Linked DNA regions of Arabidopsis thaliana. The protein of the gene in region 2 interacts with the protein of the main gene of each other region in a pairwise test. Each region holds a gene or a part of one and is shown on either strand. Other genes may lie near its edges. The genes, in order: RLK4 and CBSX3.

The links.
Region 1: the proteins of CBSX3 (region 2) and RLK4 interact in a protein complementation assay, tested with the Arabidopsis thaliana proteins (one large-scale study listed by BioGRID).

Annotation. Positions count from the first base shown.
Region 1 is NC_003075.7:146,674-152,454, reverse strand, and holds RLK4 (receptor-like protein kinase 4), read right to left. Parts: upstream 3,844-5,781; 5' UTR 3,498-3,843; coding exon 1,402-3,497; intron 1,320-1,401; coding exon 959-1,319; 3' UTR 723-958; downstream 1-722. Other genes in the region: AT4G00350 (MATE efflux family protein), read right to left, coding at 49-477; AT4G00342 (uncharacterized protein), read left to right, coding at 543-722; RHB1A (RING-H2 finger B1A), read right to left, coding at 4,493-4,522, 4,692-4,801, 4,891-5,260, 5,527-5,589. UniProt on the Arabidopsis thaliana protein: Serine/threonine-protein kinase.
Region 2 is NC_003076.8:3,428,330-3,432,610, forward strand, and holds CBSX3 (Cystathionine beta-synthase (CBS) family protein), read right to left. Parts: upstream 2,164-4,281; 5' UTR 2,027-2,163; intron 1,821-2,026; 5' UTR 1,814-1,820; coding exon 1,553-1,813; intron 1,473-1,552; coding exon 1,391-1,472; intron 1,306-1,390; coding exon 1,232-1,305; intron 1,151-1,231; coding exon 1,090-1,150; intron 987-1,089; coding exon 844-986; 3' UTR 513-843; downstream 1-512. Other genes in the region: CM2 (chorismate mutase 2), read right to left, coding at 2,362-2,601, 2,691-2,783, 2,870-3,013, 3,097-3,183, 3,710-3,943.

The DNA.
Region 1 (5,781 bases), on a different chromosome or scaffold from region 2:
GAAACAGAGGAGGAAAAAAGCAGAGTAGAGGAAGGTTATTTTAATCACCAAGAAACCAAAGGAGAAATTAGAGACGACGGAGAGAGCGATGGCGACGGCAGAAAGCTCAAGATCGCCGATATGGCCAACGAAGATGCTTGTGAAGGAGTTAACACCGTAATTACAAAGAATGTTGAAAGCTATAGGTGCAGCTATTTCCCAAAGCTTAGACGTTTCAACCACACAAACAAGTTTAGCATCTCTAAAGCTTTGAATGGGAGGAAAATCAGCGTCTCCGGTGGTTTCACCGAGCAGAGTTGACGGCGCGTGGATAAGCTTGGTCGTCTCATGCTCTGTTTCGAAGACAGAGACTTTGACGACAAGCGGAGAGGATGGACCGCTATCGATGGCGTCGTCAGCTGCTAAGGAGATGGTTTGTTGTAATGGTCCGGCAGAGGATGAGGAGGATCTTCTCTCCTCTCGAACCGGGATCTCCATTTTCACCGGTTGTGGCAATATTTGTCTAAGTTTTTATATTTCTCTACTTGGGGAGGATTAGAGACATGAGGATTGAAAGCAGACAAGACAAGAGATTCTTTTTTATGTTTGTTCTTGTAATTTGTGTTTCTGGTTTGCCTAAGATTAAGGTTAGCCGTGGAGTAGAAGAAGAGAGAACATGGGTTTATTGTGACCGTTCATATAGTTTAAAGTATCGACATGGGTTTATTGATTCAATCACGTAATGATTCTCATACAATACATTCTGTAAGAATTTACATATATGCCATTAGAAGATTATCAAAGTGACAAGAACTTTCAAACTAAGAAGAAAGACATAATCCATGGTTTTAACTGTTAATGTCGATTAAGTCAAATATCATACAACCAACAAATACAGTTTAAACTAATTAAACCCTCTTAGAGAGCAACACTTAAAACATTTAAGGCTGGTTTTGACCAAATCACCTTACAAAATTGATCAAGGAGAAGGTCTACCAAAAGACGACCGTGAGCCAGGGCTAGACAAACCTGTATTGAGATCCGAACAGCCATGGCCTTCACTACAGCTTGTGCCGCTCACTCCTCGGTATGAATCGCCGGAGACAAGAGCTTGTATTAATTTAGGCGGTGGAGGAACCGTCACCTCCACAACTCCTTCAAGCATCTTCACTACCGTTCCCATTGCTGGCCTTATCTCTTCATTGTCTTGTATGCACCATATCGCCACCGTTGCCATCCTCGTCACCTCTTCAGTGTTATATTCTCCGTTGAGTCTAGAGTCAACCACAGAGTCCACATTGCCTTGTATGATCTCACGCGCTGCCCATGGCGGAAAGAACCTGAAAAGGGATTCATTGATTCAATGTATATGTTTTTTTCTCTCTTACAATTGATTCCAAGTAAAAGACATTCTCTAAATACCATTTCTCTGGTTCTGTCTCTTTCTCTCCCAGTGTATCGCTATTAACAATGACATTTCTTCTACCACCGATCAGCTCGAGCAATGTCATTCCAAAGCTATACACATCAGCTTTTGTCGTGATGGGCAAACCAGATATCCATTCGGGAGCCACGTAGCCCCATGTCCCTCTCATCGTGGCTAGAACTCTGCTGAAGTCACGTCCAAGGAGCTTAGCCAAGCCAAAATCAGACACTTTGGCGTTGTAATCACTGTCCAAAAGAATGTTCTCCGGTTTGATATCACAGTGTATAATACAGTCCCTGCATCCTTCATGCAAGTACGCGATCCCTTTGGCAGTACCTAACGCGATCCTGAAACGGGTCTCCCAGCTTAGCAATTTGGGGCTTGTTCTAGACAGATAGGAACTCAAGGATCCTTGTGGCATGTAATCATAGACAAGAAGCCTATGAAGATTCTCTGAACAGAAACCTCTAAGCCTAACGAGATTGACATGTTGAATGTTCCCAATGGTGCATACCTCTGCCCGGAACTCACTCTCCCCGCTTCCAGGTCTTTCTAAGCGTTTCACAGCCACGAATGTAGAAGAACCCGGTAATGTTCCCTTAAACACCGCCCCAAAACCGCCGTGTCCGACCTTATCCGAGAACCCATTGGTAGCTGATTGAAGCTCCTTGAAAGAAAATACCTTAAGATTCAACACAGCAAACCCATCTTCGTCTTGTTTCCTAGTCTTCTTCCTCTTTCGACTCCTCTTCAACAGAATCAATGGCACTAACAATGTAAACCCAAGAACTGAGATTGACCCAACAACGCTGCACAATATAATTATAGACTTAGAGATGTTTCCCTTTGAATTCCCTTTCTTTGGTTCTCTGATATACAATACATCTTCACTAACTCCAGTCCACGAGCTCGAATTCTTCAGATTATTCGGCGACTCGAGTAAAATTTTGCAGAGATTAGACTTCTCCTTATGATAAAAACCAACACAAGAAGAGTTTCCTAAGCAAGTTTTGGCGCAAGAGCTCTTGCTTACCTGCAACCGTGACATCTTCACATCACCATCGTAGCGTAGATCACCAACGGCTTCAAAAGTATCACTCTTTTCGCCGGAATCACCGTTTTCACGGCGGCATCCGTCGCTGTAATCATCAGATCTCCACGCGGCGTCGTTCCTAGGCCGGAAACCGCGGATGCAAGCACAGGGCTTGAGCAATTCGCTGCTACAAAACCCTAATTGACCACAGAGATTGTAAACGCGGCAAGGATCCTCCGGCTGCAACCAGAACATGTTCCAGCTCTGCGTCTGTGGATCCCAAGTGTACTGCTTCAGCTGGCCGTTGGCGCCGACCATGAACCGCGTCAGCCGTGGCTCGGAAACGGAGTCCAACGGTGGGACGATGTACCAAAACGACGCCGTGGGAGTGTAAGGGTTAACGAAATGGAACCTGTAGATGTAAGGAATGGTCATTTCCGGAACGCCGACGAAGGCTTCTCCGGTCCAATTTCCGGTGGACCAATACGGTGTGGTTCCTTTGTAAACAAGCTGGAACTCGTTGAAGCTTGGACTCAGTCTCAGAGAGTAAAACCCCGGCGAAGGATCGAAGAGACTCCGCCACGAAGTCATAGCTGTTAGACCGGTGACATTCATCCCCGGAAGCCACGTGTCAGTCGGATTGTCAAAGCTCTGCCAAACCGGAGAACCGTCGTCGTTGATCAAAATCAGATTCCCGGTTTCAGAGAACCGGAAATCGGTTCCGGGTTGTTTGTTATCCGTCTGCCAAACGACGCCGTCACGGAGGTTACTGACGATTAGGTATCCGGTGGAGGTGAGCTCGAGAGTGGAAGAGTCAGGATCCGAAACGGGTCGGATTCGATTGGCGACCCAAACGTGGGTGGGAGTTGGCATAGAAGCGTAAGAGATACCCAAGTACCAATTGGAGGAACCATTGGTGGTGCTGAAGAAACCAAGCCGGAAAATAGCTTTGAAACTCAGAATGGTTTGGTTTCCTTTGATGATAACTTTGCTTTGTACAGATGGTGGTGGAAGAAGGAAGAGGAGAAGAAGAAGAGGAAGATAAGTAGTACATGGCATTGGGTACTCTCGGGTGGGTTAATGTTTGGTTGGTGGTGTTGATGATATTTTCTCGGTGGTGATACTGATAGACATGGGAAAGAAAAAACAAAAGCTCTCTTTAACTATTAGACGTTTGAAATGTGGAGAGAATTTTTGCAAGATAAAATCTGTAAAAGCTGTGACTTCATACCTCCAAAAAGTAAATTCATTCAGAAAAAGGTTTTGGAACTATAGTTCCTAACGCCAAAGTTACTATATTAACCCTCATTCATCAACACCGGCAGGATAGGAACTAAAAGAAAGAGAAGGGCAGAATAGGAATTGAGAAGAGGGAGGTGGCAGTGGCAGACATAAGTGGCTAGAAGTCAAAGCCATGACATCTTTTTTCTCTTCTTCTTAAATGATTCCTAACCTTTTTCTTAATTATTTCTAATTAATTACTTTATGCAGCAGACAAAAGGTGTTAATCAAAGAATCATTTTCTTTTTAATATCTTACACACGACAAGACTAGTCGCATGTGGATCAATTTACTATTTGGAATATTCAGTTTCTCTTTAGACTATGGAATTATACTATATCCATATCTAATAGAATCTCTCTCTTTCTTTAACCAAACAAACAAACAAAATCATGCTTATTATGATTCCCAGATCAGGGCATTAACCAATATTGCTAAGATAGAATCATGGATCAAGACAAGAGTGGACATGATTTTGAAGATGCAAACAATCAAAATACTGAAATGGTGGTCCTTTCTTCTCTATCACACCCCGGAGATCACAAACGAACGAACAAGAAGCTAGGTAATATTTACAATTGTTATGTATATCTATATGATCGCACAAGGGCAAAACGAACATAACCAATACGACAAAACTAAGTGGAAATGTGGAGACCCAACACTTAAAGTGTGTGAGGAAGAAACAAAATAGATGTATGCTAATTATGTAGTAGACTAACCAAACAAAGCGCCACACCTTCAAACTTTCAAGCCAGGGGATAGTAATGATGCTAGTTCAAGCGATCATCAAACACAACTTCCTGTGTTAAAGAAGACAGAATGTTAGTTAGTTGCCAAATTGTGCACTTATTTACCCTAATTACGCAACCATCAATGGTTGATCTAACTACGAATTCCCAACAGTAAAGTGCAATTCTTTGATCATCAAGACAATCGATCTGCCAAAGAAAGCTCAAGCGGGAAACACACCTTATCACATATTGGGCATCTATCGCTTCTTTCAATCCACTCCAGAAGACAAGAGAGGTGAAATTCGTGCTCACACTTTGTCGTTAGTCTTGGATTCTCAACATCATAATCTGCATAGTGCAATCCACGACTCTGTTTAGCTCTCTCATAAAAACAAGAGTTAAAGAGTTCTTTTTATTCAACGGTCTTGATTTCTTACCTTCAAAGCAAATAGGACAACAGTCCTCCTCTTCATCAACCAATATCTTCAATCCTTGATGTTTCGAGAAATCTGATTTCCTCGGTGAAAGAATGACTGAGCTGGCTAGAGTTTTACAGTCTGATTCCCCAAGATCTTCACACGTCGCTAGCGTTTCAAAACTGCTTCCACTCATCCTTCCTTTGATGGACTCAGAATCTGTGCATTGTGGTCGCCCCAAAAGCAAATCATATGGAAGAGGAGCAGGAGCACAAAAGGTGTCAGGTATAGATGTCTCCAAACCTATATCAACCAAGAGGCCTGTGGTGAATGCTGATCCCACACCAGCACGGGTTCCTGAAGGGACAAGCTCTTCAAAAGATTCTGGACACTGCGTAACAAACTTTTAATAAATAGAAACTTTGTAGAGTGTCACAATCAAATAACTGTAGATAATTCAGAAGACATTTTTCAAACACAGCTCACTCACGACCTCTAGTAGTCTACTATCGACCACTCAAGCGAGATTGTTACAAGAAATTGTTGAGATTCTAAAATCATGCTCTTGTCCCGATTTGTTTTAACTAAAATCATAATCTATAGATAGTCAGTAGTGCAAAGCAACACAAATGCAAGATGGTGAAAAGGATTACTGACATAATAGTAAACAGGTGTTCCAACAAGATGTGACTTCCTCGAAGAACTACAGCAACCTCCCATTTTCACCAGCTATAGTAATAATTAAGCAAGAGTAGCGAACAACAGTCCTTGAAGCATTTTACAGATGCACTGCCACTGCAGGAAAAGAGTGAACTGAACAACGATTACTTGAATGCAACAAGATTAATCAAAAGTACTCTTAAGAAACCCCAATAAAAAAAAAGTGATTATTACAGTGTTAGTAAGCAAAAT
Region 2 (4,281 bases):
GAATGATATCTTAGATGATGAGTTTGTGTCTGAGCAAATGACACTGGAGTTCCCTGATGGTGAGGATGGAGAACCAGTGATAACAATTGGCAGTGAGGTATTGGCGGCGATGAATGGTTTGTTGAAGAACAGCTTGATCGTGAAAGTGCCCGGGCGTAACATGACAATATCAGCATTAAGTAGAAAGCTTCGAGAGATGTGGAAACCACGAGGAGCAATGTCTGTTGTGGATCTCCCTCGTAAGTTTTTCATGATTCGGTTCGAAGCGGAGGAGGAATACATGGCAGCGTTGACAGGAGGTCCATGGAGGGCGTTTGATCGCTATCTCATGGTGCAAGCTTGGTCACCGGAGTTTGATCCCTTGAGAGACGATATTGTGACCACACCATAATCGATTTGATTTGAAGAAAATCTATCGTTTTATATTTTGCCTTGGTTTACTTGTTTGTATTCAAAGAATTGGTTTACTTGTTAAGATATTTTTCATGGTCCAAAGACACGGAAACTTTGTACCGAAATCAAATTTTCAAAGTAATTCTATTATTTCATAACACACATGGATACTTGACGCAAGATTTGATAACAAAAACAAACATCATATCTTTCATAAAGAGATCAGAGTTTTTGGTTTTATTCTCTTGCTAAGTAAGCGCAAGAAGAGAAGCAGCACAAGGCCTTAGTTTTGACAAGTTAAACAACGAAACAACACAAAACATCAAACACAACAACAACAACAATAACAACGAGGACTGCATATTTACACTGATCTGGAAGCTTTTCAGATTCAGCAGCACAAGACCAGACGACACAACAGGGAACTCTTTTCTTTCCATTATTCAAGATCTAGTAACCTCCCTGAATATACGCATTTAGGCGTTGAAGCTCCTCTCTATGCTCATGAACCACTGCACGGACAACATCTCCTATGGACACCATTCCAATCATGCCCTTGTCTTTGATTACCGGAATATGCCTGATTCGGTTATCTGTACATTACAAAAACACAAACCCGCATTTTTATTTGCTTCAGTAGGTTTTAAACCCAAAAGCTTGTATCTTTAGTGGAAAAATATCAAGTTGTCTGCTTACCTGTCATCAGTTGCATAGCACGCAAGACCTTGGTCTCCGGTGTCACAGTGATAAGCTTATTCTGCAATTGCCAGTTCACAGATCCAGTCAGTTTCAATCCACAAAAGCAAAAAAAAAATCGTACAATCGTGCATTTACATACCTCTTCAGTCATAATGTCTCCAACTTTTGTTGATTTGGATGATCTCCCTTGCACAATGATCTTCCGTAGATAATCTAGAGAAATCACAATGCCGAAAAGTGAATCACACATACCACAAGACACAACAAAAAAATTATTAATGATTAGATCTAATTTTACCTCTCTCTGTAATGATACCAGCAAGAGCTTGTTGCTCACCAGGTTTCACAACCACCAAGGCACCAACATTGTGTTGTGTCATCTAAACAAAATCAAACACAATCAATTCCAAATCCACATCGAGATATCTAAAAAAGGAAAAAGAGAGTAGTATAAGCATACGGATTTAACAGCATCATAAACAGTGTCATCAGTAGTACACCAAAGCCAAGATCCATCAGCACTTTTGCCTTTGGATTTCATGACATCGGAAATAGTTGTGCTCTCGAATCCAGATTCCTCCATACGTGCAGGTTGAGTTGATTCAGAGCGTGAACAAAACACAGAAGGCTGAATCGCCGGGTTAATCACACGGAGATGTTGCAGCACAGAGCCTTTCACAACATTTCCACCGGAGACGAAGGATCGAATCACACCTTGCATCTTTCAACTGTCAACAACCAAATAATCAGTTCCTCAAAACGAGATCTATAAAATCAAGAGCTAAAAGAACGAGTCTAATGAAACTAGATCGAAAAGAGAATGATCCTAATTCTTAAACCGAGTGTATTTGATCAACAAATCCTAAAATGGAAAGTTTCCTCAATCAGATTCAGTAAAAAGCATCAGAGATAGTGAAGAAGGAGAGATTCAGACCTGAGATTAGAGAAGAAGAAGAGATCGTAGTGGAGCTTGAGGTTGAGCTTGAAAACCCTAGAGAATGGGGAAGAGACAGCTGACCAGAGAGAGTTGAGTGGAGAGTTTTTTGAAGGGTTCTCTAATGGATAATCATCAAATATATAAATAAACGATTTTCGATAGCGAAATACTGGCGACTTTTTTCTTTTCCTTAAAATATCTTACAAAATTTAAAATAGTGATGACTGTGTTGCTTCATTCAATTATTCTATCATATCCTGACAAATATCAACAGGCCCACTTAAAAACTTAAGGCCCACTTTAACAGGGCCAGATTTGGATACAAATAATATTCAATCGAGACGACGTAGAAGATACTCAACCTCAACGAGCTTAGTGAGAGGGATAAGCCATTCCCCGTAGATGCGAGAGGCAAGCAATGGATCCACTTTATACTTCTTCTTACTCTCATCGCCATAGCCAGAGTTGAATTTTACTTCTTGTCCAAACGTTTCTGCTTTCTTCTGCACTCTCTTCTTAACCATTTCTTCTACTTTCTCAAACGTCAACAGCTTCATCAAAGCCTCTCTATCCTACAGTCGAAAATCAAACGATTATGGTGTGAATCATATCATTTTAAAACCACAGTGAAACAGAATCCACAATGTGACACTAAGTTTACCTGAGCGCGAATCGCAGGCTCGTAATCTTGTGGAGCATCTCTGAATTTGACCTCAGCTACAAATTTACCGTAGTGAATCCTTCTCGAAAGAGCCTTACACAAGATCAAACATATCAGATCAGACATCATTAGCCAAAAGTAGAGCTGATTTTGTTATGTATACTCAATCATCTCCTTACTTGTAAACAGGCGAGATCACTAGCAGCAGTTGATGGATAGTTGCCATCATCGCCAGGTTTGACAAACAAAGGAAGCAATTCTTTAAAGTAAATATCCCAGATTTGTTTGTTAATGTTAACAGATAGAGCCTTAGGGTGCAAAGCCTAATCAAGAGAAAGAAAAGTACTGTTAGACTAAAGCATTCAGAGTTCTAAGAAAAATGCTCAAGACTTTACTACATACATACCGATGGATATTTGTGCGTAGGAAAAACCGAGTGAGGAATGTTCTCAAGGAAGAAAGGATTCTCTTCCGGGTATTCATATCTTCCTACCTATATAATATACACATACACATAAGGTTTTCAAGTAAACCAATGAACAAACATATAGGCTCAATATCCAGAAACTTAAGAATATATATAAACCAATGAGATGAATATATTAATGAAATAAGACTTTCAGACATTATAAAAATAGAAAACAATAGTCCTCCATTTCCAATCTCCACATATAATGAGGTTTTCATAAGGAAATCTCGTATACATATGATAAAGTCGGAGCCTTTTATTGGCAGATTCGCACTCAAATCAAAACAAGAAGTTATCACACAATGAGATTATACAGGCAAAGCCAAGTTATCATCTTTTGCAATGGAGGAGACACATAGCAAACAAAAGGCATGCTAATTCAAGAATCCAGGCTTATTAAAACCTCAATCAAGTTGACTTGTAGCTTACTTTCTGCTAATTTCATGGAACAATCTAAAACAATGCTATACCAAAACCGAATCAAACGAAGCATTGATATCTCTGTATCTAATTTTAGCAAAAGGATCAGTTTTTAAAATGGGAAGCAAACCTTAGCTTGGATGATTTCTGTCTCTCTGACGAAAAACTCAGTGAGAGAAGAGAAACTTCCAGAATCTAGACAACGAGATTCCTCGAAAGCAGGAGAATTGAGTGGAAACTTAGCTCTCTCGATCAAGCTGAAGACGATGGTGTCTTCTTGCCTAATCAACGATTCTCTGATTAAGTCAAGACTCAGTACATTGGAACAACCAGAACCCGAATCCGATTCGAAGACTCTTGCCATGCCGCTTCAACTGTATCCCCTGCTTGATGGTGTATAAGTAAGCAAACAATTCATTCATAGAAACTATAGAGATGAGCAATTGTGAATGACGAAAGTCAAAGGACTTATTACCTGGAAATATGAAGCTTTCTTCTTCTTCTTCCTCAATGCTAAAGTGTTTTGGACCTTTTTGCATAGATTGCTTCCTCAATCAAGGAAAACAGAAACAAAAAAAAACGAAAGCGTTGAAATCAAAACAAGATCCACATCCGATGATTTGGGCCCAACTATATTCACCGACTGGCCCATAAAGAATTATTATATCTTCTCACAATAGCTGGGGTTTATTTGTATTGTTC